Linked DNA regions of Canis lupus familiaris. The protein of the gene in region 4 interacts with the protein of the main gene of each other region in a pairwise test. Links are inferred from orthologs where the notes say so. Each region holds a gene or a part of one and is shown on either strand. Other genes may lie near its edges. The genes, in order: BNIP2, AMOTL2, RAB25 and MYO5B.

The links.
Region 1: the proteins of MYO5B (region 4) and BNIP2 interact in binary tests that used the Homo sapiens proteins (3 or more experiments, as listed by UniProt). The two-hybrid records come from large-scale screens. The link is inferred for Canis lupus familiaris from reciprocal best matches to the Homo sapiens genes MYO5B and BNIP2.
Region 2: the proteins of MYO5B (region 4) and AMOTL2 interact in binary tests that used the Homo sapiens proteins (3 or more experiments, as listed by UniProt). The two-hybrid records come from large-scale screens. The link is inferred for Canis lupus familiaris from reciprocal best matches to the Homo sapiens genes MYO5B and AMOTL2.
Region 3: the proteins of MYO5B (region 4) and RAB25 interact in binary tests that used the Homo sapiens proteins (3 or more experiments, as listed by UniProt). The link is inferred for Canis lupus familiaris from reciprocal best matches to the Homo sapiens genes MYO5B and RAB25.

The regions. Positions count from the first base shown.
Region 1 is NC_049251.1:24,906,263-24,913,541, forward strand, and holds the start of BNIP2 (BCL2/adenovirus E1B 19 kDa protein-interacting protein 2), read right to left. Parts: upstream 4,572-7,279; 5' UTR 4,373-4,571; intron 1-4,372.
Region 2 is NC_049244.1:31,676,784-31,683,434, forward strand, and holds part of AMOTL2 (angiomotin-like protein 2), read right to left. Parts: intron 4,803-6,651; 5' UTR 4,742-4,802; coding exon 4,008-4,741; intron 1,348-4,007; coding exon 1,041-1,347; intron 50-1,040; coding exon 1-49. UniProt on the Homo sapiens protein: Regulates the translocation of phosphorylated SRC to peripheral cell-matrix adhesion sites. Required for proper architecture of actin filaments.
Region 3 is NC_049228.1:41,739,138-41,746,436, reverse strand, and holds the start of RAB25 (ras-related protein Rab-25), read left to right. Parts: upstream 1-2,359; 5' UTR 2,360-2,618; coding exon 2,619-2,661; intron 2,662-5,314; coding exon 5,315-5,510; intron 5,511-6,696; coding exon 6,697-6,890; intron 6,891-7,299. Other genes in the region: ragulator complex protein LAMTOR2, read left to right, coding at 1-24, 249-319. UniProt on the Homo sapiens protein: The small GTPases Rab are key regulators of intracellular membrane trafficking, from the formation of transport vesicles to their fusion with membranes.
Region 4 is NC_049228.1:78,761,465-78,768,643, reverse strand, and holds the start of MYO5B (unconventional myosin-Vb), read right to left. Parts: upstream 4,869-7,179; 5' UTR 4,632-4,868; coding exon 4,605-4,631; intron 3,605-4,604; exon of another isoform or gene 3,388-3,604; intron 1-3,387. UniProt on the Homo sapiens protein: May be involved in vesicular trafficking via its association with the CART complex. The CART complex is necessary for efficient transferrin receptor recycling but not for EGFR degradation.

The DNA.
Region 1 (7,279 bases), on a different chromosome or scaffold from region 4:
CTATTAACTTAGAAATTAATTCTCAAGTGAGACTGAAACACTATCACTAAAGGTTTAAAACTATCTCTTTCAGAAGTTTTTAATTCACTGTACTCAATTTTTTTCTGAAGTCTTGTGTAATCACTTAAAAGCGAATATACTTCCGAAATTCAATAATCAGAAAAAGTTTCCATTATTTTGTTTTACCTTTTTGTATGTGTTGGAAAAATATCAGGATGTTCTTGTTGCCTTTTTCAAATATCCCACATACTTAGAAAAATATTTAATATCTCATAAATAAAAGCAGAGACTGAAAGTTGCTATCACTATATTCCCAACACCTAGCACAGTGCATGGCACATAAGCCTGTAAATGTTAGTTACAAGTAAGACTATTATAAGGTACGACACTGGATAGCAAGCCATTGTTTTGCTCTACCTCTTAGGCTTATTTTTCTTATTAAACTACATTAATAGGCTTCCTGTTGTTTTACTCTCAAAAAGTGTAATGAAAATATTTAGGGCAACCCACATACATGCAATTATCAATTTCTGTTGGTAAAATTATTCCTTATTTCTTTTTTTTTTTAAAGACTTTATTTATTTATTCATAGAGACACAGAGAGAGAGAGAGAGAGAGAGAGGCAGAGACACAGGCAGAGGGAGAAGCAGGCTCCATGCAGGGAACCTGATATGGGACTCCAACCCGGGTCTCCAGGATCACACCCTGAGCTGCAGGTGGTGCTAAACCGCTGCGCCACCGGGGCTGCCCTTATTCCTTATTTCTAAGAGAAATATGTAACTTGTGAAATTCTATAAGACAAATGATGTCTTTTAGCTCCCCTACTACTTGAAGAAGTTTATCACTTGAAAATAACTCAAGTGTTTCAGCCAATTCATTCAATTTTTATTTCAAAATCATATTGAAGCATGTCATGTTAATACAGCACATGGACATGGATATTTAGTTTGGGGATAATTATTTAAGCTAAACAGAACCAGCAGGAGACAGCAGACAGACTCAATCTTGCCTATTTCACCATAAATTGTAGAGAGAAAAGTACACTAGGTAGACAAAAAGTTCAAACAACTGAGAGAGTATTGTTCTTGGAAGCACTTAATCATCAGCAGCTGTAAGAACAGGAAACAAACAAGAAAGGAGCAATATAAGCACAACCACTTTGAAGGAAATCAGGACACCACTGACTCACAAGTTAACTGTGGCTGTTTCCCATTTTTTGTTCATAGATTTGGTAAATTAGAATGGAGGAAATTACACTTTAAGATGCTATTTGTTAAAATAACCAAATGCAACAAGAATAACTAGATTTCTCAACATACTGGTGGTACCGGGAGCACATGATTGCTTATGCCAGTTACCAGCAGAAGGCATACAGATAAATTCAAAACACCGGCTGACATCAGTGAGGTTAAAAATCAAGGAGAATGGATTACCTCCTGAGACAACTTCTGGAAGGGAGGTGTGGCAGTAAATTCAACCAAGATAAAGAAGGGGATTTCCCTATAAACTCAGCAATATAAGCAAAAATTAAATATTAAAATCACATTTACAACTGTCTGAATTATAAATTATAATCTTACATGCCACTTTACTATTATGTAGTTTAACAGTGCTGCTAGAATAGGTGCTAGTAACTACCATCTATGCTGAAATCAATTATAGTTGGCAGAAGGAAATGTCCAGGCAAGTCTTTTACTTCTGCATTTAAACAGAAGGGCTTCATTCTAAGTATTTGTGTTCACTTTTCCCTAGGAGGCTGGCAGCACTGGTAGTGTTACTGGAAAATACTTTAGACCAGTCTATATTTATGTTTACAAAGATCACCAAAACACCTCCAGAAAAATCTTATACGCTTGTCACTGCTTCCTTGAAAGCAGGGTCATACAAGTTTCTAAGACCGAAATGACAGTGAGATGTCACCTTACACCTGTCAGAATGGCCGTTCTTGAATAGACAAGAAATAGCAAGTGTTGGCAAGGATGTGCAGAAAAAGGAGTCCCTGTGCACTGTTGATAGGCATGTAAGTTGGTAAAGCCACTATGGAAAACAGTATGGAGGTTCCCCGAAAAATTAAAAGGAACTACCATTTGATCCAGCAATTTTGGGTATTTATCTGAAGGAAACAAAATCATTATCTCAATAAGGTATATGCAGCCCCATGTTCATAGCAGCATTATTTACAATCGCCAAGATATGGAGGCAACCTGTTTCCACCGATAAATGAATAGATTAAAAAATTGTGGTATACAGGGCAGCCCGGGTGGTTCAGTGGTTTAGCACCACCTTCAGCCCAGGGCCTGATCCTGGAGACCCGGGATCGAGTCCCACATCGGGCTCCCTGCATGGAGCCTGCTTTTCCCTCTGCCTCTCTGCCTCTCTCTCTCTCTCTCTCTCTCTCTCTGTGTCTCTCATGAATAAATAAATAAAATCTTAAAAAAAAAACTGTGGTATCCATATACAATGGAATATTATTCAACCATAAAAAGAATGAAATCTTGCCAGTTGGGACAACATGGATAGACCTTGGGGGCATTATGCTATGTAAAGTAAGTTAGAGAAAGACAAATACTATAAGGTCTCACTTACTTGTGGAATCTTAAAACACACACACACACACACACACACACACACACCAAGTTCAAAGATGTAAAGAACAGACTGGTGGATGCCAGACGGAAGAGGGGTTGGAGGAATGGGTGAAGGGGGTCAAACTTCCAGTTATAAAATAAATCCTAAGGATGTAATGTATAGCGTGTCGTGTTGATTATAGTTAATAATACTGTATTACAGGGGCGCCTGGGTAGCTCAGTGGTTGAGCATTAGCCTTGGGCTCAGGGTGTGATCCCAGAGTCCCAGGATCGAGTCCTGCATCAGGCTCCCCGCAGGGAGCCTGCTTCTCCCTCTGCCAGCTCTGTCTGGCCTTCCTTGTTTTAGATGCCTTCCTCCATCACAGCTCCTACTGGCGTTACTCCAAAGGCAAAGAAAAGAACCACTTTCCTTTTGGCATTTACTAACCACTTGTACATTCATCATCTGGTATGTTCCAATCAACAACTTTTGTGAGGTACGAAATATGGGTGTTATTTATCCCCGTTTTAGTTTACATATGAGGCAAATGACCCTACATTTTGGGTCCCAGATTAAATGCAGCCTGTTTCTAATACAGCACACTGTCTCCAGTTCACTGGCAACTTTATACAGCATAAGCCTGTAATGCCAGACTTGGTTACATTTAACTTCAAAGGTCCTCTAATGCTTAAAGACTACAACAGCACTGACTAATGACCACCTAGCTCAAGATCCATGTTTGCAGAAGTGGACCTGTCATACTTCCTGTATTAGCCCAACAATGTGAGGCGGCAATAGAGGAGATTATGAAAATAAGAATAGTCTAGAAGAAATGTAAAATGACGAGAACTAAGTAAAAGGTGTCCAAAGATCATCAAGATGATAGTATACAAGCTAACTAAACGGGGTAACTGAAGTTATCCATTTACAAGTTGCAGAAATTCTTATAAAATTTTAGAGAAGGAATATGTTTCGCTGAAAACGTAACTAGGCACTAAGATAAATAGAGATCCTAATTTAAAAAGGTGAGGAGGAGGGGGAAAAAAAAAGGCAACTGTAAAGTGCAATCACACACTTCACTCAACTAAACTCTAAGGCAGGCACTATGTCAACCAGGAGGAACTGGGCAAAAGCTGTGCTCTCCGAGGGCTCCCGCCAACTGGCAGACGAGGGAAGTTTCAAAGCAACGTTAACAGATCCGAACAGATTCCTGATTTAACTGGAGTTGATCTAGGAGATTTCCAGCTGCATGAGAGACGCCCAGGAAACGCAAACCATTAAGCAAAAGCTGATGTCTGAATCCACGCAGGAACTGGGCTTTTATACGTAGGAAGGCCCTCTAAAGCCCTCATTACCAAGGGCCGCTTCCGCGTCTATTCCCCGAGGGTACTGGGCACAGCAGACGTCCGAGTTTCTTTGTTCTGCACCGGGACTGACGCTGGTCTTAAATACGCGACCGAAGCGGCCCGGTCACCGCACCCAGACCAGGGGGTGTGCAGGGGGGCCCAGCGGGGGAGGGGGGGCAAGTCCCGCCCCGAACACAACAGCACAAACGGAAAAGGGGTGGCCGGGTGGCGGGTAAGCCTAGCTAAGGCAAACAGGAGCCGAGCCAAGGGCGGGGGCCTAAGCTGGGCGGGGATCCGGGAAGCGCGTCCCGGGCAAGCTCCCCGGCGGCCCCCTCCATCCGCAGCCCTCCGCGCCTCCCCTCTCGGGCTGTCCGGGGGGCACGCACCCCTCAGACGTCCGCCGCAGGCCTGCTCTCAGCCCAGCCCCGCCGTGCCCAGCCTTCCCGGGCCGCACTCACCCCGGAGGAAGCCTTGGCCCCCTCGTCTTCCTCGCCCCTCCAGGCCGGCGACGTGGGGCTGACGGCCAGGGCGCAGGAGGGAGCGCCGAGAGGAGCCCGCTCCCCTCGGACTGCAGCGGAGACCCGGGCCCAGTGCCCTGGCTACAGCCGCAGCGACAGCAGCTGACCCGGACGCAGACAGCCGCCGGGGCGGAAGTGACGGAATCCCGACCTCCTTCGGGCGCGGGGGCCGGCGGAGACGGAGGCGGGGCGTCTTTGGCCCTTGCCCCGCCCCCTCGGCCGCGCGGACTGACGCATGCGCATTCCGCCCGGGCTGGCCGCGCCTCCTCTCCTCCCGCTGAGACCCGGTCCTCGACTCTCAAAGGGACGTTTCTACATCCCTTCTGTGGGCTTTATTGATCCTTAGAATAATTTTATAGCATAGAATGGGTGAAAGTAGGGGAGGAAGAATCGCCATAAAGGTGCTGTAAGATCACCGTCACGCCTTCCAGACGCTGTTTCTGTTCCCGTCCGGCCGTGCACAGGTGGCGGAAGGGCCCAGCTCTGCGGACCCATCGCACCTGGCGCAGCGGCGCAGGTGTGCAGAGGGGCCTCAGATCCGCATCCGCCAAGTCCCCACGAGGGCGCAGGCGTCCGCCGATGGGACGGTGCATTTGGGAATGGGAAGAGGGAGCTTGGGGGCGACCGAAAAATGTCCATCACTGACCCGAAATGCGGCTCCCAGGTTTACGGGGTTTTGGCAACATGCACCCGTTCTGTCTCATCTCTGAAAACAGGGAAAAATAATACCTACTTCCTAGGGCTTTTGTGAGATAAAGTGCTGTTTATTAGACATACGACGACATACTATCATCATATACGTGTTTGATAATATTTTCCTCCAAGCAGTTTTGTGAAGTTAGCTGGCGGAGCAAACAAGACGGATCAGCTGATAAGCAGAGCCTTAGCTGAACAATTTCTTGGATCGTGCTTACGTCAGCGATTTTATCTTAAGTTTCAGATTTTTTTTCCCCCCCCGTAGTTTCCTATTTTGCTTTTTTCAGTCCTGCAATGAGGAGCATTCCTCACAAGGTGGCAGCAAGTCATTTGAAATTATATACAGTTATGTGGGGTTGGGTTTTTTGTTTTTTTTTTGTTTTTTTTTTTTTTTTTTTGCCATCTTTCTTTTTCATTTCTATGACTTGATTGTTCAGTTAGTTTGGTCGGTGTTTGCTTTGGTTTTGAATAGTCCATTCTACAATTTATCTTCTTATCCTCATCTCATGAATTAGCTATACTTATTGTTGAAACATTGGAAACTATAGAGAAGGTATACATTTAGGTATATCCTTTCAGATTTTTGTATATATATAACTATATAAATAGCACATATGTTTCTATAAAAATGAAATAAGTACCTAGTAGTCAGGTCTTGATCTCAGGGTCATGAATTCAAGTCCTGCATTGGGCTGTATGCTGGGGAGCCTACTTAAAATAAATAAAATAAGACAAGATAAAATTAAATAAAATATAAAAAATAAAAATACATACTGAACTCCTCAATGCCATCATTTTTATTATGGATAAATTTGTATTAACAATTCTTTATTGAACAAATTTAGTTGCTCCATTTTTTTAATGGTTGAAAACCACACTTTATAGAATGTCCAAAAAAGTTCAAGACATAAGACTAACTGATTTTTCAAACAACACACTAGGTATATTTTCAAATAATATGCTCAATATATATTTTTTCAGCTTTTAGGTGAAATGCCTGTAAGCCATGGGTCAAATTGTTAGCCTGAAAAAAGTATAATAAAAACACAGTTTTCGGGATGCCTGGGTGGCTCAGCGGTTGAGCATCTGTCTTGGGCTCAGGTTATAATCTATGTGTCTCCTTGAATAGGCAGATACTTGGAATATTAAAATTGGAAAATAATTTAGAAGAAAAAAAGTGTGGCTTTAGAACATATCATCTAGGGATCCCTGGGTGGCTCAGCGGTTTGACACCTGCCTTTGGCCCAGGGCGCAATCCTGGAGTCCTGGGATTGAGTCCCGTGTCGGGCTCCCGGCATGGAGCCTGCAAAGAAATGGAGCAAAACAATTTGGTGAATTGAGGTGACGTTGGTACTTCCAAAGTGCAGCTAAATAGGAGCTAAACAGATGGCGGGGGAGGGGTGGGAGTTGGGGCCAGTCAAGGAAGACTTTCGGAAGGGGGTCATCTCGAGCTTAGTAATAAAAGGAGGATCTTCCAAACTGAGGGAATGGCTTATGCAAATGTGCAGAGACTTCAAGAAACTGCCCCTTTTTCTTCATGACTGGAGCCAGATAAAAGGGGGAGCTTTTTTTTTTAGTGCTAAGGGTTTATTCAGAGCCAATATGATGAACAACATGGAAAAGCAACCAATTATTATGTTCCTCACAATAACAGCATTATTAGTATAAGTTCTGAGAGAACCACTTTGAAAGAGGCACCCCTCTTTTGAGTATATATTTTAGTATGTGTATTAATTCATTCACATTACTTTGCCATACTTCATACATCAAAACAAAAGCACTTAGCCAAAATAGAGAGTGTTGAGTCTTTATTTCCTCATCTCTACTGCCTCCTTGGATCCGAGAGATAGGATGAGAGATGATGAAGAAGGTATACCAGACAACACTAAGAAAATGCTTGTGTAAATTCAAATTTTAGAAGGCAGAATGTATATTAAATAAAACTCTTGAATAATGCTGCACTCCCCACTGTATAATTTTATAGACAGATTGTTCTTCTGGCTTACGAGCAAATAAATTCAGTGATGTTGGGCAGCTCACTCATAGTTTTTGAAAAAAATGTGAAATATCCTTTTTACATGGGCTGAATGTCTTTGCTAGTTGAGCTTGAGGGTAAAACTGGATACAATTATATATTCATTTAATTATTCA
Region 2 (6,651 bases), on a different chromosome or scaffold from region 4:
TCATTAGGCTCTCGTGGGCCTCAGAGAGCCGCTGGATTTCACCTTCCAGCTGCAAGAAGCAGACAGGAGAGCTGAAGGAAGGGGAGAGATCCCTGTGTGGCCTCAGGGTCCCCTCCACAGGCCCAGGCTGCTCTCTGACTCTCCATCAGAAAGGATGAGAGAGGACAGGATAAAAGGCAACAGCAAAAAATCCAAGTGGTTAGAGTGGGACGGTCAGAAGCTTGTGGCCTCCAGATTTGAATCAGATGCTAGAACCAGCAAGCAGGGGTCCCCTCAATTGTGCCAGGGCCCCAGTGCTGAGTGAACCCAGGGCCAGGTACCCTGGAAGGGGCTGCCTCTGACTGACCAAGCATAGCTTTCCCGCACCCAATGTCCAGAAAGCAGCATTTTACTTTTGTCCAGTTTCTACTGAGAATCTGAGCACTGTGGGCCAGGAGTGGGCACAAAAAGACTCCAGCCACGTTCTAGGGGCCAGAAGAGCTCAAACCACAGGACAGCCATAGGAGGCCCGAGGCCACCTGTCAGAACTGAACGCACAGCTGGCAAACCTCCTCTAAAGAACAGGGTGCTGGCCCCTGGGCTGAGCTGCCTCCTCTCTGGAGCGTTTCCTCCTCTGGCCATCCCCGTGTACCGCAGAGGGCCAGCCTGGCCCCAGCTGCCCCTCCCACTTGGCTGCTGGCAGGTTCCGCACGTGCTCCGAGCTGGCCTGTGATTCCAATAAGTAGCTCGTTTTTTCCAAGAGGAGGGGCTTTCTTTCTGGCCAGGGCTGGCCCAGAACAGACTTGCTGTTGTGTGCGGGACACAAAGGGCTCTCTGTGGGAGGTGTCCACAGGAGGGGGTGTGTGCAGGGGAAGGGTGTGCAGCGAGCTGGTGAATGGGCTCTTTCTAATCACCACTGGCCAGCAACTGCTCACACTCCAGGCCTGCTCTGCTGGCCTTGAGGCTGCTCCCCAGCTGTCTAGAGTCAGTGAGGGAGGGAGGAGAAAGGATATGGGGGTAGAGAGCAGGCCCCCGCCCTCTGAGGCCCCAGCAGGGCCTACCTTCTCGATGCGGCCAGCCTTCTCCGCTGAGCTCTCCAGCTCCCTCTGCAGCCTCTCATTGTCCCTCTGAAGCCTGGCATTCTCCCTCAGCAGAGTCTCCATCTGGGCCAGGTGGGCACTGCCAGAGGGGGCCGAGGAGGTCTGGGTGCTAGCCGGCCCCTCCACCTCAGGTGGGCTGAGGGCGCCTAGGGGGCCATGGCTAAGAACAGCTGGGTGTGGTGGCAGGGGGTGCTCCTGGGGCTGCTGTAAGTACTGGTACTGCTGTTGCTGCTGGAGAAACACAGGGGGCACTTGGGCCTGCAGGATCCTGGGGAACAGAAGAGATGGTGCTCAGAGACTATGCAGGCCCTTGTGGCTCCCACCCCTGAGCAGCCTTGGGTGGGCCCAGCCCTCCTGGCATACTGGCAAGTCTCCACACAACAGGAGGCAGTGTCCAGTGGGGAAGGCTCTATCCGAGACCCTGAAGGGCCAAGGGAGTGGGGCTAGTGGGGGTTAACATCAGGATGCTTGTTTCATGTCCAGCCTCACTGTGGCCAAGGCCTTGGGGATCAGCCTGAGTAGTCCTGGACCTTGTACACAGCCTTCCAGGACTCTGGGCCACTTCCTGCGTCTGTTATAAGCCTCTTCTGCTAGTATTTGCCAGTGTAGCACACTCACATTTTCTACTCCCTATTTTGGGTCTCGTCACCCGTTGCAGAAACATTTTTGTGAATCCCCGTGGCTCAGGGCAGAGTGTAGATAGATATTGGCATAAGGGTCTGAGCTCCAAAGTCTGACAAAATAGGAATTCAAATCCCCATGGTGCAGGCTCTGCTAAATCATGAGGATGAGTGTTTCCAGCCTCGAGGGGCTGGCCAGGCCTACACAGGGCCTGATGGGATGCTGGGCCTACAGCGCGTGCTCCCACAATGGTGGTCCATCTTCTACCTCTCCTAGTGGTAACTGCAACATACTGTCTGCTTAAAGAGTAAACGTGGCCCACACACTGGATTTTCTTAGGTGTAGGGGCCACCTCTGGACCACTGCAATAGCCTGAGTGGAGGGACAATGTTCCACTGGCCTCTAGCAGTGCTGTAATGTCACCCTCAGCCCCATTAAGGGAAGGAGCAAAGAGCAAGAGGCATGGGTGTCAAGGCTGGTCACACGGCCTTTCCGGGGTCTTGTGACTCCAAGTGTGAAAGAACAAACTGCCTCAGTTACGCCAGGAGCTTTCCAGAAGCTTCATGAGAGTTGAATTCCACTTGTAGGTCCATCACCTCAGCATTCAGGCCCTCCATCCCCCTCACAGCCTCCTCTCCCCTGCTCCCCTTAGGACCCTGGGCTAAAAGAAAAGTCTCGCCCCAAGTTCCCAATGAACAATCCTTGTGTGACCAGCTGAAAGGAAAGGCTGGGCAGATCTATTTGTCTTATTGCCTAAGGCAGAGCTTCCAGTGAGGGCTGAGCAGAGGGTCCCCACTGGAATGTGCAAGCTCTCGGTGCACTGCTAAATGTGGCATTCTCAGGGTTGCTTCACGAACTTTCTCCCCCCTGCACCGGGCCAGGCAGACACAACTGGCATTCTTGGGGGATGACTTAGCTCTGAGAAAGAATAGAGTCTCCTTTCCTTTCACACTTGCTCTCCCTTCCCTGTCCTGCTCCTCCCCCGCCCTCCCTGTTTTGTTCTCCTGTGGTCTACTTCCTTTCCACGATATTATCTTTTCCTGACAGGGTTCAATAAGGCTGCTCCAAAAGAAGAAACCCGCGACTCAGCTTCCGAAACTCTCCCTGACCAAGCCCTGAGAGAGGAGATAAGGTGGGGGGCACGAGCGGTGGAGGATGGAGAAAACCCACAAGGCCCCGTCCTCTGGTTCCCCCATGCCAACACCATGGCGTCACTCATTTCTCGAGAGCAAGGAAAGGCATCTATCCCAGGAAAAGGCCAAATGGTGGGAAAGCGGGTGACTAAATGAAGACTCAGCAAGCATGAAGAGGACCAGACTTCGGCCTTGAGCTTCCAAGGAAAGGAGTCTGCAACTCCGCAGGCCCCTCTGGTGGGGTTTCCTGGGCCAGCCCGGGGGGAGGTGCGGTGTGTGAAATGATCGGTGTCCCTGCTTCTCGGAAGGGGCCGGGCCGAGTGAGAAGCCAGGGGCAGAGCCTCATTTCTAGGAACCAGTATTTCTGCAAACTATCCGGGGTTTCTGTCCCCTCCTTGCACCCTTTGCCCTTAGAATCCATTCTCTCTACGTGCTTCCCGGGGGGACCTTTTTAAAGAGGTGAGCCAAATCCCATCCTCTAAAGGCTTCCCTTCACATTCAGGTTCAAAGTCCACATTCCCCAGCAGCCCTTTCCAAGGCTCCACAGAAAGGGGCTTGCCAGGACCCCAAGTCCTCTCCTGCTAGGAGCTCCAGCCACCTGGAGCACAGGGAAAACGTGAAAGGAAACGCAGAGTAGTAGGAGGGTGGCTCCTGCCCTGGTGTAGGCCAGGGAGAGGTCTCGGAGGAGGCCATCTGGTCCTTCCTGCCTCCAGTTAGGAATGCCTCCCACTCATCACAGAAGGCAGACTGTCCCGTTGGTCTTAAAGGTCTCCAGAGAAGGAGGTCCCATGTCCTGCCAACTCAGCTTGGAAACCGTTTGGCAAGGATTCCCAACCCTTGTCTTTAGCAAGTTCTTTCGAAAACCTAACCTTTAACCCCCTGCTGTAAGCGGTACCCCCGGGAACCCTAGTTACTTGACTGCTACAGCTAAGCACACAATGGCATCCATCTCCAAATTAAAGCAAAAGGTCCCACTAAGTTCTCACGTGACCCTGGCTAAGTCCTCCTCTACATCAGGCCTGAGCCCCTCCCTCTCGGGACAGGGAGGGGGTCTCAACAGCCTTCCTCTGGGGCCTGCCAGCCCCGACACAGGGTGTCTGCAGGCTCTCCACCCCAGGGGAGAACGATACCAGAAGGAAAGTCAAGAGCTTGAAAGAGCAGGGCGGGCAGTTACCTGACTTCAGCATGCTGGAAGTGTGGGCTCCCGCGGGTGCGGTACCGCGGGTCGGTGACAGCAGTGGCGGTCTCGTGAGCTAGCACAACGTGTGGGTACTGAGGCGGCGGTCCGCGGGGCTCTGGGCCCTCGGCAGGTGGGCCCCTGGGTGCGGGGCCCTGCTGATTGCGGGCCAGCTGCGGGAAGCTGTGGGAGGAGCTCATGTGGCTGGGGGCCCGGGCCCCGTTCCTCTCCAGGGACAGCTGCAGGAGCCGTTCACTCAGGGAGCGCACATGCCCGTGCCTCAGCTCTCGCAGGGCCTCATCCTGGCTCCGATGGCCTCCTGGGGCCCCTCGGGGATCCCGGTCCCCCACATGTGGCCGGGGCCCCGCCTGCTGAGCCGCATAGTACTGGGAGTGGGCTTTAGCCTCTTCGTAGGTGGGCAGCTCCTCACCCTTGCCGGGCTGTGGACACAGCCGGTAGAGGGTGTTCTCTGCCAGGTGGCTCTCACCGCCCTGGTGCTCCTGGCCCTGGGGTTCCTGCCTGGTGGCTTGCTGCAGCACCTGAGTGTCCTCAGGTGCCAAGATCTCTGCAGAGGCTTGGGGGCTCCCTGTGCCCCCAGCCCCAGCCCCACCCCGCAGGGCCTGCTGTTGGATGGCCAGCAGCGTGCGAGTCTCCGTCAGGTTGCCATAGCGCAGCTGCTCCTGGATGAGGCGGTGCAGGACCGTCCCGGAGGAGTCTTCTAGCGTCCTCATGCTTCCTTGCCTTGTACACAGCTGCCTGGACAATGGCCGGTGGCACCTGGCCCCAGGGCACCTGGGAGGAGGGAAAGAAGAGCAATTAGTGGGAGCACAGGGGAAAGAGGGCAGGGGGTGCTTTCCGTTACAGTGTGGTCCAAAGCATAATGGTGAAGAGTAAGGCTATGGGGGCGGGGGGGGGGGAGGTCACACAAGCCTGGGTTCAATTGCCAGTGCTGCCACCTACTGATTAAGGCAAATGACCTAACCCGTGAGCCTCAGTTATTCCATCGGAATAACGCTTGCCTCATGGAGGTGAAAATTAAATAAGGCGATGGCTGCTGAGTGCTGGTGCACTGTAAATCCTTGGCAGAGGGCCACCGTTACAGTCATATTCACGGAGACTTACTAAAGAAAGCCACCAGTAACCTCCAAGGTAATCCATCACCCAGCCTCTGCAGTCAGCTTCCCAGTGAAAAGGCTGAGGAGAGACTCCAGGGCAGGAGTAGTTCAGCTACAACCACTGAGCAGGCCAGTCTAGGGGTAGACAGGGCCCCAGTTCATTGGCAGGTGATAAAGAAGGAGTCCAGCCTAGTAGAAGCCCTAGGCAGACAGCCCCTAGCTCCCTCTAGAATGTAGCATGCCTGAGCCCTAGGCTTGGCACGGGTAACTCACCACCCTCTACCACCTTTACCATGCTGGGCCCTCTCTGTCACGGGATGACCTTGACGGTCACTCTGCAAGGTGAACAGGAAGGACAAAAATGCATCGGGTTTGGCAAATAATAAGGGATCAAAGGAGAAGCTACAACAGGACGATGGTTTTGTGAAATGAGGTGAAAAAGATGCCACCCGTCAAGGTTTGTGGGTCAGTCATAGTCTGTGTGCTGACAGCAACTGCATGGGTGCTCCAGGAAAAACAAAGGGCGGCACCGTGTCTTTGACTTTAGGACTGTCCCTCCTACACACGTACACTTGCTACTTGGAAAAGACCCCGATGGCCCTCTGCCACATAGAGGGTGGGCACTCAGCATTTTGCCATCGGTAACACTTATCTGAGCTAACTGGAGGAGTAGGGGAGCGAGGGAGAAGCTCTTGGTTGCAGGGACCGGAGTCTGGGGCGGGGGTGGGCTGCTGGAAGCTTCAAGAGCAGGGAGTATCTCCTGAGGAAGGTATTGCCCTCTGAGCTTGGGCTCTCAGTGGCTCATGTCCCGAGGCTGCCTGCCTCACCCAGCTTCCTTCCACAGCCTCCTCCCACACAAAACTCCTAACTAGATTCAGGGAAAACCAAACAAAACCCCTATCCCCACAGGTCTTATGTATGGGGGGAGGTCAGTGGGAAGAATGTGGTCCCTTCTCGGCCACAAAACTAGCCCCATTGCCCTGCTGCCTTTAAGGTTTGGTAGGTTGGCAGAGCAGCCAGTGCCAATCTACTCCTCCCTCCAGGCTGCCCAGAAATGAGGAGAGGGAGAGGAGTCTGGAAGGCATCTCTGTGCCCATCCTTCTTGGCACCCAATCGGCCGCCCCCTCTCCCTACACCCCGGAGGCGTGGAGATGCAAGACTCCAGAGTTACCAGAGGCAAAACAAACTGCAATCAATTCGCCCTAGAGTTTCCTCCGCGGGGCATTTCCTAAAGTAATCAGTCTGGGCTGACTCTCCAGCCGAGAATGACGGTGGGGAGCAGGGTGGGGAGAAGGGGGGGGGGGTGGCGTGCAGAGCTTTCGGGACGGGCTCCTCGTGTCCCCCCCGCAGCCGTGAGCCTGGGAGCCGGGAGCACCTCCGGGGCCCCTGTGCCGCGTTTGTCCCCGTCAGACCCCTCAGATGCACATTCTTTCGGCTGAGCCGTTACTAAAATCTGTGACCGCGACCCGGCCATGCACCTTCGCTGCACCGGCGCACCCCGGCTTCCTGAAAACCAGCGCCCCCTC
Region 3 (7,299 bases), about 37 Mb from region 4:
GGCTTCGGAATGCTCAAGGCCAAGGTGCGTAGGTGCCCGATCCTCGACAACCGTGGGCCTAGCCTTTGTGCTGTTGGCTGCCCGCTCCCACCTCACCACAGTCCTGGAGTCCTCTCATGACCGTCACTGGCTGTGGACTGACCCTAGGAGTGGGTGGGAGCGGGGTGCTCAGCCAGGAGTGGGTCTGCATTGGGGGTCCCTCTAGTGGCAGGCCGCGTACGGTCCTGATTTCTCTTCCCCTCTTGCAGGCCCAGGCCCTGGTGCAATACCTGGAGGAGCCTCTTACCCAAGTAGCAGCATCGTAATGATCCTTGTTTGAAGCTGGGGTCAAAAAGATAAATGAACATTTACAGGGGCAGGGCCCCCTTGGGAACCTTTCTGGGTTGGGGGGTACTTTGTTTTTTCCAAGAATAAACTGTAACTCCTATCTTATGTGGTGACTGCTCTTTTTTAAAAATAGACTTATTTTACTTACTTACTTTTTTTTTTAAGATTTCATTTATTCATGAGAGACACAGGTTGAAGGAGAAGCAGGCTCCTTGTGGGGAGCCCAATGCAAGACTCGATCCCAGGACCCTGAATTCACAACCTGAGCCAAAGGCGGACACTCAAACACTGAGCTGCCCAGGCGTCCCTATTTTACTTACTTCTTCTTCTTTTTTTTTTTTTTTTTTTTTTTAAAGATTTTATTTATTTATTCATGAGAGACACACACACGGAGAGAGAGGCTGAGACACAGGCAGAGGGAGAAGCAGGCTCCACGCAAGGAGCCTGATGTGGGACTTGATCCTGGGTCCCCAGGATCACACCCTGGGCTGCAGGCGGCGCTAAACCGCTGCGCCACCGGGGCTGCCCTTCTTCTTCTTTTTTTTTAAAGATTTTATTTATTTATTCATGAAACACACAGATAGAGAGGCAGAGACACACAGACAGAGGAGAAGCAGGCCCCACTCAGGAAGCCCGATGTGGAACTCAATCCCGGGTCCCCAGGATCATGCCCTGGGCCAAAGGCAGGCGCCTAACCGCTGAGCCACCCAGGGATCCCCTATTTTACTTACTTCTTAAAAAGAGTTTATATATTGGAGGGAGAGAGAGAGAGAGAGAGCGCGTGCGAGCAGAGGAAAGGGCAGAGGGAAGAGGGAGAAGCAGACTCCCCCACTGAGCAGGGAACCTGATGCAGGGCACTATCCCAAGACCCAAGTCGTGACCTGAGCTGAAGGCAGACTGAGCCACCCAGGAGCCCCTGATGACTATCTTCTTGAACGGGAGGAGCCCAGGGAGGTGGCAGGGAGCAAGGGTTGCTCAGGAGAGTCCTGAAGGCCCACCTCTTCCCTTGCCCTCTGATGGCCACGTCATTTCAGTGGTAGTGCCTCAGCGCCCTCGGCCTCTCAGCTATAGGAGCATCTGGGCCCTGCCACTGTGAGCAAGTGTTTGCCCACCTGAATGGCACACCTTTGGGAGTGATTGCAGAGGAGCTGGGACCGGTGGGGGACTGGTTGGGGGTTGTATTGGGCAGAGAAAAAGGGCCCTGCAAGTCTAGTGACCTTCAGCCCCAACCTGGGGAGATGCCTTTTCTGCTCTTGTGGGTGAGAGTGTGCACAGCTGTCTAGAGGGGCCACCCCCACTCACATAGACCCTCCAATCTTGAAGCCCTTTGCAGTCAATATGGCTCTGGAGACCTGGATGTTGGGGAGGGAGTATTAGGAGGCGTCCATCTCCAGATCCTGGCCTACACTCAGACTCCTCACCCCAACTGTCCATTTTTGCTCCAGGTTCCCCCTCCCCGGCATCCTTAGAGCAGGTCTGGACAGGGAGCTAGCAGCCCCTAGCCCAGTACCATAGGAAGGGACCCATCCCAGGGGAGAGGTGGGTTTCGAGTTTCTCCTCCACCCAGGGTGAGGAACACTGCCCATCCCAGGCCCTGGGCTGTAGGGAGGGGCAGAACCATGACGTGGTTCCCAGAATTCTGCACTGTAGCAAGGGGATTGGCACCTGTCAGCCTCAGCCCCTCGCCCCAGCAGCCCTTCCCCTGGTGCCCCCAGTCACCCCCCCACCAGAGGCTCTGAAGGAAAAACAGGAGGCCAAGCAGGTTTCTGCTCCCTGACAGGCTGTTTCTCACTGGTGGCTGCTCAGGTAGGTCCCTGGTCCCAGGAGCCCTAGCACCATGCAGTTAGTCCAGAGCTGGCTCTCTGAAGGTCCTCCTGGGCCTGTCCCAGCTCCCCCCACCCCCGCTGTCATCCTTTCTGCCCCCCCTCCCTGTCCCAGCCCGCCAGGCCACCGTGGGAGCACCGGCTGAGAGCAGACACCCAACCTGCCTAACCTGTCTGACGTCATCCTCTCTCCACCCACCTGGGCCCCAGGTCTCTGCTGCCTGCTCTTCCTGTTCTCAGCTTCCGTTCTCTTGGCTTCCTTGCAGCACCCCCACCTGCCAGAGCTGAGCCTCCCAGGCCCTGCCTAGCCTCTAGTCGGCCCTCAAGCCCACAGACAGCCTGCGGAGGTTTCTTTACCCCCAATGAGTGGAGCAGCAGATCCGGGTCTCTGGAGAGCTGAGGGTTGAGGGCATTGAGACGTGTCTCCCCTGCCTCCGAAGCCACTTATACCCTCCATGCAGAGCCAGGATGGGGAACAGAACCGAGGAAGATTATAACTTTGTCTTCAAGGGTGAGTTGGGGTCTGTAAAGAGAGAGACTGACTGAGTCAGAGTGCCCCTCCTCTTTTTACCTGGTACCAGGACCCTCTCAGGGCTCCTCACTCCTTTGGAGTAGAAAGGAAGCTGCAGGGAGTGGGGGAGGGTCTGGTTACTGGGGCAAAAGTCCTGGAGCTGCTGCTTCGAATGCTTTGCTTCTGCAGATAATGCTGTTGATCAGTCCTGGGTGGGGCCAAGTTAGGCTCCTCTGCTCCATTCGCAAAGGAAGCCATGTCCCTAGGAACTGTTAACCACTGCAGCACAAGAGATTGAGGTCAGACTTCAGAGAGGACTTCCCTCCTGAGAAGAGGGGGCATAGCCTTGAAAGGAAGAAAGTCTTGTTTCTCAGTGGACATGCAGGAAAGAAGAGAAAGGAGAGCTCTGTCCCTTTTGCAGTGAGGACAGGGAAGATAGCTTAGATGGAGCACAGGATCTAATAGAACTTGGAGGACTCCGAAGATTAGGGCCTTGTCTGCTGTCCCTTGGCAGCCTCTTTGGGCCCAGATATTGGGCGCAGGGTCAACTTGACTGACACTGGAAGTATGCATGCATCTCTCCTGCTCCTTTCCCTCGGCCCTGCGTTGGACCCCAGTAGACCCCAGCCCCCAAGCACCCCCACCTCCACAGCTCCTTCTGGGTGGGGTGGACTGGCAGAGCTGTGAGTCCCCGTCCAGCCACCCCACCCCGCTGCCTCTCCTGGCCTAAGCCCCACCCTCACTGGGGCTAGAACTCAAGCCACTCCGGTTGGGGCACCTGTGCTCAGCCCTCCCTCCCAGGAAGGGGAAACTGGGGCTGTGCTGCTACTGGTGACTGCCCTTTCCTGAGTCATTAGTCACCAGAACAACCCCAAAGTGTATCTCTCGCTTTGCAAGCATTGTGGTCAGGAGCCAGACTCCCCGCTCCCATCCCAGCTCTGTCCACTATTAGTCGTGCAGGTTGGGGTCTCCAGAAGCAGACACTAAGTTTGGAACATAAGGAGTCTCATCTGGCTCAGCACCAGTGAAAGGAAGGGAGAGGAAATGGGGAGAAACCAAACTGCTGCACAGGGTCACAGAGCCTCAGCCAAGGGCAGTGCTGGAAGCAGGCCACCCTGAGAGGGACGGTCTCTGCCGAGGCAGCTCTGTGCACCAGGGCAGGGGCAGAGGGAGCTGGCGGCTAGAGTCTGGCTGCTGGTGGTGCTCCCGTGGCCACAGGCTCCACCTTCCTCAGCACAGATAGGGGCAGCACACTCTGTCTGAGGCCGGCTGCTACTCCCCCAAGTGCCTGCTTTTCCTCGGCTGTAAAAATGGGATGACCGTGACCGTGGTACGTGCCTCGTGGTGCTGTGCTGGGGGTTAAATGAGTCAGTTCGTGTAAGGCTTTCAGGATGGTGCCTGCACATAGTAGGTACTCAATCAACACCTACTGTCTCCCTTTTACTGACAGCAAGTGGCTGACAAATGGTCACTAAAAGTCAGTACTCAAACCCAAGTCTTAGCATATTTTGGGCCTGATGGCAGGGCTAGAAGCCCACCCACTGGCAGAGGTGAGGTGGGATGAAGTTCCCAGCGCGGGGAGGCAGGATGCACACCCACACCCACCTGCTCTCCATTCATTCCTGCCCTGCACAAGTTCCAGGGGGCTTTATAGATTTTACAAACAAGGAAACTGGAACCTTGAAAAGCTGAGCCACATGTTCAAGGTCACCAGCTAGTGAGAGACTGAGTGGGGACCAGAGCCTAGAACATGTGGCTCCCAGGGCACCAGCCTACTTTTCCAGAACCACCCTGGGAGTTGTCCTGTCATCCTGGACGTTCACTCAGCGTCATACAGCTTATTGGTTGTACTTGCATCAGCCCCCATTGCCCTGCTGCAGCCCCCAGCTCACCCGTGGTGAGGACAGCTGGGCCCTGGACGTTGCCCACCAGCCCAGAAGCTCTTTGAGTGCCCCTCTGGTGGATCCGGGTCCCTGGAAACCTGACAATGAAAGCACCAGCCTGCCCAGAGCAATCTTGATGGTGACAGTCTTCTACACTCACTACAGCCGGGGCAGTATCTCATTTACTTCTCAACAATCCGTGAAATAGTGTTGTTACTGCCATTTTTCATACGAAAAAGAATGTCAGGATAGGCCTGTCCGACACCCATCCCGTGTTCTTAACTGTGTGCCTCCTTGGGGACAACTGTATCCTAACTTCTTGCACACCCCCAGTGCTTCCCTCCCTCCCACGATGTGTCACCTGCCAAACGTGCTTCCCCCCCACGTTTGTGTTGGCACAGTGGCTTCCAGCACACGTGCCGAACCTTGAGGTCCTCCCAGCTCGCCACAAGCAGGCACAACAATGTCACACTGCCTAGTTGGGAAACGTGTGCCCTCCCCAGACCTCCTACATCCCTGTCCACTTCCATGCGCCCTGCCAACTTCATAGCCCCTGAATACTGGCACCCCACCACCGGAAATGCAGACTGACTGTAGCCACATCCCCACAGACCAGACCAAGAACCCTTCTAGGCCTGCAGCCCAAACTCTTGGCCCTTCACCTGGGAGGTCTGGAAATTTCTGGCTGGCTCCCCCCTCAGTTTCCTGGGCTCAGCTCCCTTTCCTGATGGGCAGACTCCGAGCTCAGCCCTGTGTCTCCACTCTTGCAGTGGTGCTGATCGGCGAGTCAGGCGTGGGGAAGACCAACCTGCTGTCCCGGTTCACACGCAACGAGTTCAGCCACGACAGCCGTACCACCATTGGGGTCGAGTTCTCTACCCGCACGGTCATGCTGGGCACGGCCGCCATTAAGGCTCAGATCTGGGACACAGCTGGCCTGGAGCGGTACCGAGCCATCACCTCCGCGTGAGCCTGGAGCCAGGGGGCGCTGGGGGGGATTAGGGGGTGTCCCTGGAGGAGAGGCCATGGGGCCATGGTCTCCCTGAGGGGATCCCAGGGCTCCATGGCCCCTGTGAGCCCCAGGTGCTGTAAACCACACAGGCTGAGGCAAGACCCAGTGATACCAACTGCTAGGGTGGAAAGCAGCAGCTGCTGGACCACTTCTTGAGCCTCTGCTACATGTCCTAGGAGGCACGAGGCACCTTCTAAGTGCCACGGGACCAAGATGCTGTAATTAATCCCTGCTTAATACAAAAACCTGGGGCTCAAGCAGTTGAAGTCAGGGAGGATTGTGGATAGGGTAGGTTGTGGGACCAAGAGGGCCCTCACTTCTGCTTTGTGCTCAGCATCCTTTGCCATTTCCCCATGAACCTGGTGGGGGCTGGACCCCTCAGCAGCATCTTACAAACACTCAGAGGGGACAGAGGACTTTCTGCCTCCTGATGGCCATGCAGAACAATTCCCAGGGAGCGTCAGGCCATGTGTGAGGATGGTGGTCTATGTGTGTGATTGGGGACAGCACCTGCTGAGGAACAGCAAGCAGGAGCCCAAGGCTTCAGTCAAACACACACTCATGGCTCCCAGACTGGTCACCAAGCGCTTCTGAGCCTCAGCTGACATGTTGCTAAAATGGGAAGAATGAGTTATCACAATGTGAAGGAGCCCCAAGTACCTCCGGGAGTGAGACTGGATGCTTGCAGGGACGTCTCAGATGGTCAGCTCAGGGACTGCCACATGGGGTGGACATTCAGCTAGTTCTAGGGAGATGGCCACAGGACAGAAGAGGGTACCATGGCACAGGAACCATGTGAGGATGAGCCCACCGAAGGTGTGCCCCTAGGGGGCTGTGTTAATTGGGGCTCAGGTGCGCATGGGTGGACAGGGAGGGCTAACTTCAGAGCAAAGCACCTAAGGGAGCCATGGCTAGAAAGGCAGGAGGGAGTCAGAGAAGGAGGGGGATGCTCTGAGTCTCCAGTACCAGTAGCCCTAGAGGGCTCAGCATCGGGCTCAGAGCCCTGAGTTGCCCTGACCCGATCTGGGTCCCTGGACCCCAGCGTTCATATCTCTCCATCCCTGGTGCTCATCTGTGATGTTTTGGCTCAAGGGCTCTTCTCTCACCTTGCCTCAGTCGCCCGCTCCACCCCAACCCCAGGTACTACCGTGGTGCGGTGGGTGCCCTGCTGGTTTTTGACCTAACGAAGCACCAGACCTACGCCGTGGTGGAGCGCTGGCTGAAGGAGCTATACGACCATGCTGAGGCCACTATCGTTGTCATGCTCGTGGGCAACAAGAGTGACCTCCACCAGGCCCGGGAGGTGCCCACTGAAGAGGCCCGGATGTTTGCAGGTGAGAGCCCCCCCCCAGTCCTCCCCAACCTTCCCCCCGCATCTGAACTGTGTAACTTCCCCCACCCCAGCCCCTGCTCCCACCCTAGGACCCCAGCCTGGACATCCTCCGTGGGACCCCCTACCGCCTTCACCTTCTCCTTAGAGCTCCCGGCCTTTCCTTTCGGTCACCCTGTGTCCCTCGTTATGTCCTGCCACTTGCCCTAAGATCGTCTCTATGGGCAATTATTTGTGGTTGACTAAGAGATCCGCAGTGTGGCAGGTGCGCTCCCCACAACTGTCTCCAGTCATGCTTTCCCTAGGAGGCCTCTGGGGTCAGAGCAGCAAGATGCAGTGGCTAAGCATGCAGGCCCTGGTGTCCAGTGGTGCAGCCTCACATCTCCTGGCCAGCCCCAAGTCCTTTGTTCAAT
Region 4 (7,179 bases):
AAATGGGCTATGAGGAAGTTCCAGCAGGACTTGGCACAGGGGGATTTAAGATCCAGGGGACAAGCTCTCAAGTATCTCTAAGTATAAGGCACCATGCTAAACACACTGGCGGCTCCAAAAAAATGTTTGTGATGGCCTCCGCTCTCCAGATGGGCTCAACCTACCTGGGAAAAAAGAGGCAGGACAAGAACTCTACAAACAAGGCATTGGGGCAGGGCATACAGGTAATAGGCAGAGAATGTGCCCCGTGAACCCGTAACAACTTGCATCTGAACACTGGAATTCTAATGCTCACCAGCAGAGCGAAGAAGAGCCCATTGGCTTTATAGGCCCATCTGAGGAAGGGAAGCAGGCAGGAAAGAGTGGGCAAGGCAGAGAAAGCAGCAAGGAGGAAGGGGGGAGGGGAGGAGCAGGCCAATGGCTTCTGTGCATTGGCACAAAGCTTCAGAGAACCAAAGGAAACCAGAGCCCTTGAGTTTCTCAACATCCACCCAGCCAAACCACCATGGTCCTCAGATCCAAAAGATGAAGATTCCTGTCCAGGTATTCCATTAGGCATTGCTCCCGAGGTGGGGAGGTGGGGAGGTGGGGAGGTGAAAGGAAGCGGGGAGGTGAAAGGAGGCAAGCTGGGTTGTGATATTCAGCAAAATTCAAGCAGAGGAACTTCAGCTCCTCCTGCACAGCTCTGTGGGCAGTCCTGTTCCCAAGGTCAGGGTCTGGAAACTACAGCTGTTCTACTCCCATGGATTACAGGTCCATCCTGGGGCAGGGAGGGGGGGTGCATTCCCAGGCTCCAGGAACCTGAGAAACACGTGCCATCCAGAGTGAGCAAGCACCAGCACGAGTTCAGGAGAAGAGTCAAGGGCCTGCAGAGGAGCACTACCAGCATCTGCTACCACTCAGGTCTCGACCGTCACTTTTTTGAAATATCACTGGGGCACCAACAGGAGTCTGAATCATTAGTGCCTCCAGTGAAGCAGGGTGGGTAGAGGCAGGAGGCTCCTGCTGCCTACAGGCTGACACCTGGCACAAACCCGCACTACCAGCTGCACAGGGAAAGACCAAGACAAAGCCACCATTTACACGCATAGGCTGGATCCACCAGTGAACTAGCAGCACTCAAACTGCTCAGACACCACTTATGAAAGGCCAACCAGAGAAGGGGTTATTGGAAGGTACTGGTTTATCTGGTGATTTCCCAGTCAACCTGACTAAAAGTCAAGACAGCATCCTGAAAGACTGGTCCAAAACAACAAGGTTCATAGAAGGGTTATTCTGGATGAAAAATAGACTATTTCCTGCAATATCAAGATCCAATTGTACTTCCCATGCTTGTACACGCCTGGGACCTGGACAAATCCAATGAGCCCATGTTTCCAACCCACAGGAAAAGACAGTATGAATACTTGCTACATACATGCCACTTGTGACATGATCCCCCATCATCAGCTCCAGCTTTCTTTAGGAGTTGAAGCTGACTCACCTTGACATCACCCTCAAAGTGTCTTGGCATGGACTTTTTTTTTTCCCCCATCCAGAAAAGACTCGCTACAGAGAAAGCCACTTCTCAAAGGTGATGGGTTGGGTCTTCTGAACACAGGTGTGTTCTTAGGTAATGGGATGTGACTTTTGTCAAGGACTAAGGACTCCAAAAATAATAATTCACATAGCATGGAGCCTCCAGTTGGAGTGTGCAGATAGGCAAACAAGAAAACAGTAACCTGGGAGGGAAAGAAAGGGAGTCTTGTCTTGGATAAATAGGATTAGGCTAATATACTAAGTTCTTACCTGAAACTGTACCTTCAGGTTAATTTATGCGCTTGAAGGTCTCCTTCCAATCATACCTCCCTACTAGATCACTAAAGCAACAGGTATAGTTCTAAAAGGCTTTAATAGTTCCACCCCACTTATAAATGCTGTTGACATAATGGATAATTATTTCTATCATGCATAATACATGACAGTGCGTGCCTGGGTCCAGCAGTCACCATGATAGACCGGCCTAGCAGGTTAAAAGGGGGAACATTGGTTGCTTTAATATGCCAAGATGAACAAATCATCCCCCTAAGAAAATGAATCTGAGCAGCAGGCACAATTTCTCTATGTACTTTATTATTCATATGCATACAGAGAATCCAGCCTAGCAAGTAGGGTGATAATGGTTGGAAAACAATACAACTGCTTCTCATAGCAAAGCATGTTTAACTCTGACAAGAACAATTGCTCAAAATTCAATCTGGAAGCTACTGGCTGGGTCACAAAAAGTCTCAATTTCAGATTCATAAACATACAGTGATTAAGGACTAGAAACCCACCAACATGGACAGGTGAAGTCCCCCAGCCCTAGGAACACGTTCTAATACTTTGAGTGGTGTCAAACCCTCACACCCACGAAACCACGTTAGGTGACTCATGTGTCCTTGAGACATTTTTCTTAGGGTAGCTATATCCTTAGTAAAAGCCCAGAAAGTTACCCCCGAACTTGGGCGCAGACTTCCAGTAGGATTCCTTTTTTGTTTGTTTTTGTTTATGATAGTCACACAGAGAGAGGTGGGGGGTGGGCAGAGGGAGAAGCAGGCTCCATGCACCGGGAGCCCGAAGTGGGATTCAATCCCGGGTCTCCAGGATCGCGCCCTGGGCCAAAGGCAGGCGCCAAGCCGCTGCGCCACCCAGGGATCCCCACTAGGATTCATTTCTAACAGTTAACATACCATACGCTCATTTATAACTGGCAACATACTCGTTTCCAACAAGAACATCAAGTGTTTTCCCCTGAAAGCGTGGTCTTTAAAGATTTTTTTATTCATAAGAAAGAGAGAGAGAGAGAAAGGGAGAGCGAGAGCGCACGCCAGAGACACAGGCAGAGGGAGAAGCAGGCCCCATGCAGGGAGCCCGACGTGGGACTCATCCCGGGTCTCCAGGGTCACGCCCCGGGCGGAAGGCGGCGCTAAGCCACCCGGGCTGCCCGAAAGTATGGTCTTTAAAAGCAATCCAATGTTTTTCAAGATCAAGGCTTCAAGAGTTGCAGATTTATCCGATTGACTATCAGCTTCCCGTAGTACAGCAGTTATCTGATGAAAGGCCTCGCCGCATCGCAGGCACGGTCGCCGGGGCCCGGTGCAGCCCGGGGTTGAACAGAACTGCGAGGCTCTACCATCCAAGCCCAGGTCAGGTCCCCCGAGCCCCCTGCCCCACCCCCCGCCCCACCCCCGGCCTCGCCGGAACCAGGCTCCGGTCCGAGGGCCTGACAACCTGCTACCGCCGGTGAAGAGCCCGAGTCCTGGGGGCCGCTGCCAAGACCCACAGGCTGAAGCGGGCGGGGCGCTTTTCAAAGCCCGACTCCCGGAGCCGCTCGCCAACCCCGCCCACCCCGCCCCCTTCCCCGCTCCTGGCTCCCTCCTCCCTCCTTTCCAGAAGCTGCGGCCCCTCCGCAACCGGGGCCAGGACGCGGGCGCCGAGGCTGTAGCTACCCCATCCCCAGCCAGGCCACAGCCTCCGCGTCATCCCGGCTCAGCTCGCTCTTCCGCAGGAGCCGGGAGAAAGTCCGCCCCGCGGGGCGAGCGGCCCACCCCGCTGCGGAGCTCCCCACGCGCGCAGCCGCCAGGTGAGAGGCGGAGCCAGCCCCGCCCCCGCCCAGACCCGCGGGCCGCGCGCGGACCCCGCGCCCCGCACCCGCCCCGCACGCGCACCGACGCTCGGGGCGCGGTCCCTCGGGGCGCGGTCCGGAAACAGACCGGGCGGGCAGGTCTCCCGAACTTCCTGACCGGGGGAAGGGCGCGTGCTTAAAGGCGCGGCCCCCCGCGGCTCAGCCGTGGGCGCTCCGGGAGGCGGCGGCTGGCCCCTAACTTGAAACAACCGCCGCGGAAGCAGGACGTCTCCAGCCAGGCGCACCTGTTCCCGACCGTGGGGCCGAGCCCTGCAGAGCCCGGCTGACCCTGGCACCCAGAAGTCCGCACTCCGCCCCTGCCCTTGCTGGCACCCACGCCGAGGGGCCGCCTTCAGCCGCCCACCCCCAGCCAACTAAGAATGCGCTTCCCCGGGGTCTCCGCAGGTCCTCGGAGCACTTCCCACCTCACCTGTTGCTCATCTCCCCCCCCCCCCGCCCCATCAAGTCCCTAACAGCCGGTCGGTCCCCTTCTCCCCCCGCCCCCAAGTGTGCGAGCGTCCCCGAAGTTCGTGCTGCCCCCGCCGGCGCGCGGGAGCGAAGGGAGCCTGGGGGCGCGCCCTCGCGAGCGGCCGCTGCAGAGCAGGGTCCGGGGCGGGGGGCGGGGTCGGGGGGCGGCAGTGGGGCTGTGTCCGCGGCCCGGCTCCGCGCCGCCGGGGACCCCAGTCCGGGACCGGGGAACTCAGCAGAGCCAGGCGGGGGGCAGCGCCGCGGGGAGCCGCGGCCGGTCGGCCGGCGCAGGACGCTCCCGGAGCGGCCAAACTTCCTCCTCCTCCTCCCGAAGTTCTGGGCGCCGGGGGGGAGCGAGCGGGAGGCTGCCAGGCGCCCCCCGCCTCCCGGAACCGCAGGAGGGGGCGCCCCGAGGGCCGCGGGGGGGGGCCGGGGGCCGGGGCGCGCCGCGCTGGTCCCCGCCCTCACCTGGCGCGCGGCGCGCACTCACCTGGCTGTACAGCTCGCCCACCGCCATGGCCCCGCGCGCCGGCCCGAGCCCGGGCAGCGAGTCTGCGTGCGGCCCTCGCTCGCGCCCCTGCCGGGCTGCGGGTCCCGACTCCTCTCCGCCCGCAGGCTCAGTCCGCGGCCAGCCCGCCTGGCGCCATCTTCCCGGGCGGCCGACACTTTCCCGGCGTGTGGCCGCCTCCCCCACGCCCTGCCCCGCCGGCTCGCTCCCGGCCGGCGCGACCTTTACTCCCGCGGCGGCGGCCGGGCAGGACTGGCGGGCGGGGGCGCTCCCCGCTCAGGTGGGGGAGGAGGTGGGGGAGGAGGTGCGGGCGCCGGGAGGCAGGGCCGAGCACCGCGCGCGGAGCGGGCAGCCGGTGCGCTGCGGCCGCCGCCTTTGAGCCCTGCGGGGCCGGGCCGGACGCGCCCTCCCGCGCCCCCGCTGCAGCGGGGTCCGCGGGGCCGGGGGCGGGGCCGGGCGAGGAGCCGGGGCAGACCGCCCCCTGCTGGCCGCCGGGTACAGGTGCGCGCCGGGGAGGCACCTGCCGCGCTCCGCAGGCTCCGCCGGCTCCTCCGGGCGATCGCGGGCTGGGGCCGGAGGGGGCGGAGGTGGGCAGTGGAGACGGGAAAGAGCCCAGGTAGCAGCAGGGCGAGGGGAGGAGGAGGGGAAGTAGGGGATAGAAGTCCGGCCGAAAGCCTCCGCACGTTATTCTCTGGACTTCACGTGGCTGCGCTCAACAGTCTCAGGGTTAACACTCCGCTGTCACGGGATGTTGTAACAGGTGACCTGGCTATGCCCACGGGGTCTCCGCCACACCGACTCCCTGGCGGACGTCCTGACTGGGCAAGTGGGATTCGTAGCTTCCCTCCCTATTTTTGCCTGTTTGACCCTCGACGTCCAACTAGACTCCTACCCGCCCTCCCCCCCCATCAGAAGATGGTCATTCGCGTCTCCTTCTCTCTCGTGTGCACGCTCTCCATCCCCTTGCCATTTTCTACCTCCTTTCGGTCCCCTTCCCAATGGCCTGTGGCTGCCTGCAGCAGCTTCAGTCCCTCTTCTACCTACAGCAAAAAAGAAACCTGACCCAAAAACGAAAGTAGCCGGCGGGAGTTGACGGAGGAAACGCAGGTAGCGCCGGGGCAGAACGGCCCTGGGTGGGTCTGAAGGAGGCGTCTGTACCTGAATGAGGAACAGCCTGCGGGTGCTTCTCAGCTGGAGCGCGCATCCGGTCGATGCAGAAATTGTTCTGGAGCCACATGCTTCTGAAACTCTTCCCAGGTAAGCCCTTCCAGCTGGAATCAGGACCCCTGCTTAATTGGCCTGTCAGGCCCTCACAGCTGTGCCTCCTCAAGGAGACTCTCCTAGGGAACTTTACCAGATCCCGCCAAAGAACCCCACCTTCAGGACGTATGTCTGGCGAACAGAGGGAGTTTTCAAGCTCCCCCATAATCCTAGAAGATTGTACTTCCAAGGTTGACAAGTGCGGTGATCAAAGCTTGGAGAACCCTCCTTGGATTTCTTCACATCCCAGACAGAAGCAGGGAAGAAATGGCTCCACCACTTATCTCTCACTCAGAAATCTGTCAGCATAGTTTCCTTCCCTGTGTTCAAGAAGATCTCCAAGTGTGACACCCCCCCCCCCAGGCTATTGGCATTAGCTGGGTCAGAGCTATAAATTGTCAGGGGTCAGACTTACTGAATCTGAAAGCCTGGGGGTGGAGCCAGCACTCAGTTTTCACACCTTTCTAAGGGATTCTCCCCCTTTGGGGTTAAGAAACCCCTTTGCTAAATAAAGCTCCTTCCCCACCTCTGCTCTGGACCTTTTATGCCTCACCATCATGCTCCATCAGTGGGCTGGTCTCTACTAGCAGCTTTGTTCTCCTTTCCTGCTACATTTCTTAAGGTAGGCGCTTGTCCCAGCTGGCTCTGCTTAAACCCAGTCCAACATAATTACGGGTTCTCAACACTTTCTACACCTTTGCAAAAACAAATGATGCCTGGCGCCCACTCCCAGAAATTCTGATTTAACTTTCTGGGGTTCCTGCCTGGGTAAAAGGATTTTTAAGAGCTCCCAGGTAGTTCTAATGACAGCCAAGGTTAAGAATTGCTGCATTAGTTCCTTCCTAAATGGTTCCACTCACTCCTATCCTATTGAGATTGCCTTCTCCCTCTAAAGCATGGGGCATGTTATTCTGTATGTTGGTAAATTGAACACCAATAAAAAATAAATTTAAAAAAAAAAGCCTGGAGACTGTACGATTTGAGCATCATGGTTCCTGACGACCGTGGGCTCTCAGGGAAATATCAAGAGACATAGGATAGCGTAATTATTATCTGTCTGATGGCTCCTTCTAAATAATGTTGTGCAACACTTGACATTATACTTGGATGGTTTCTGTTTATTTTGCCTTAAAATACATTATATTTATTAAATATTACTAAAATAGTCTCATTGTAATAAAAAAAAAACATGGGGCAGTACATGACTCTCCTTTCTCAGGTTAAACCATCTCCTTCTTAAAATCTCTCATTTTTTCTCCTCTTGTTTTCCCAGCCTTTCTAACCACACCTTCATGAC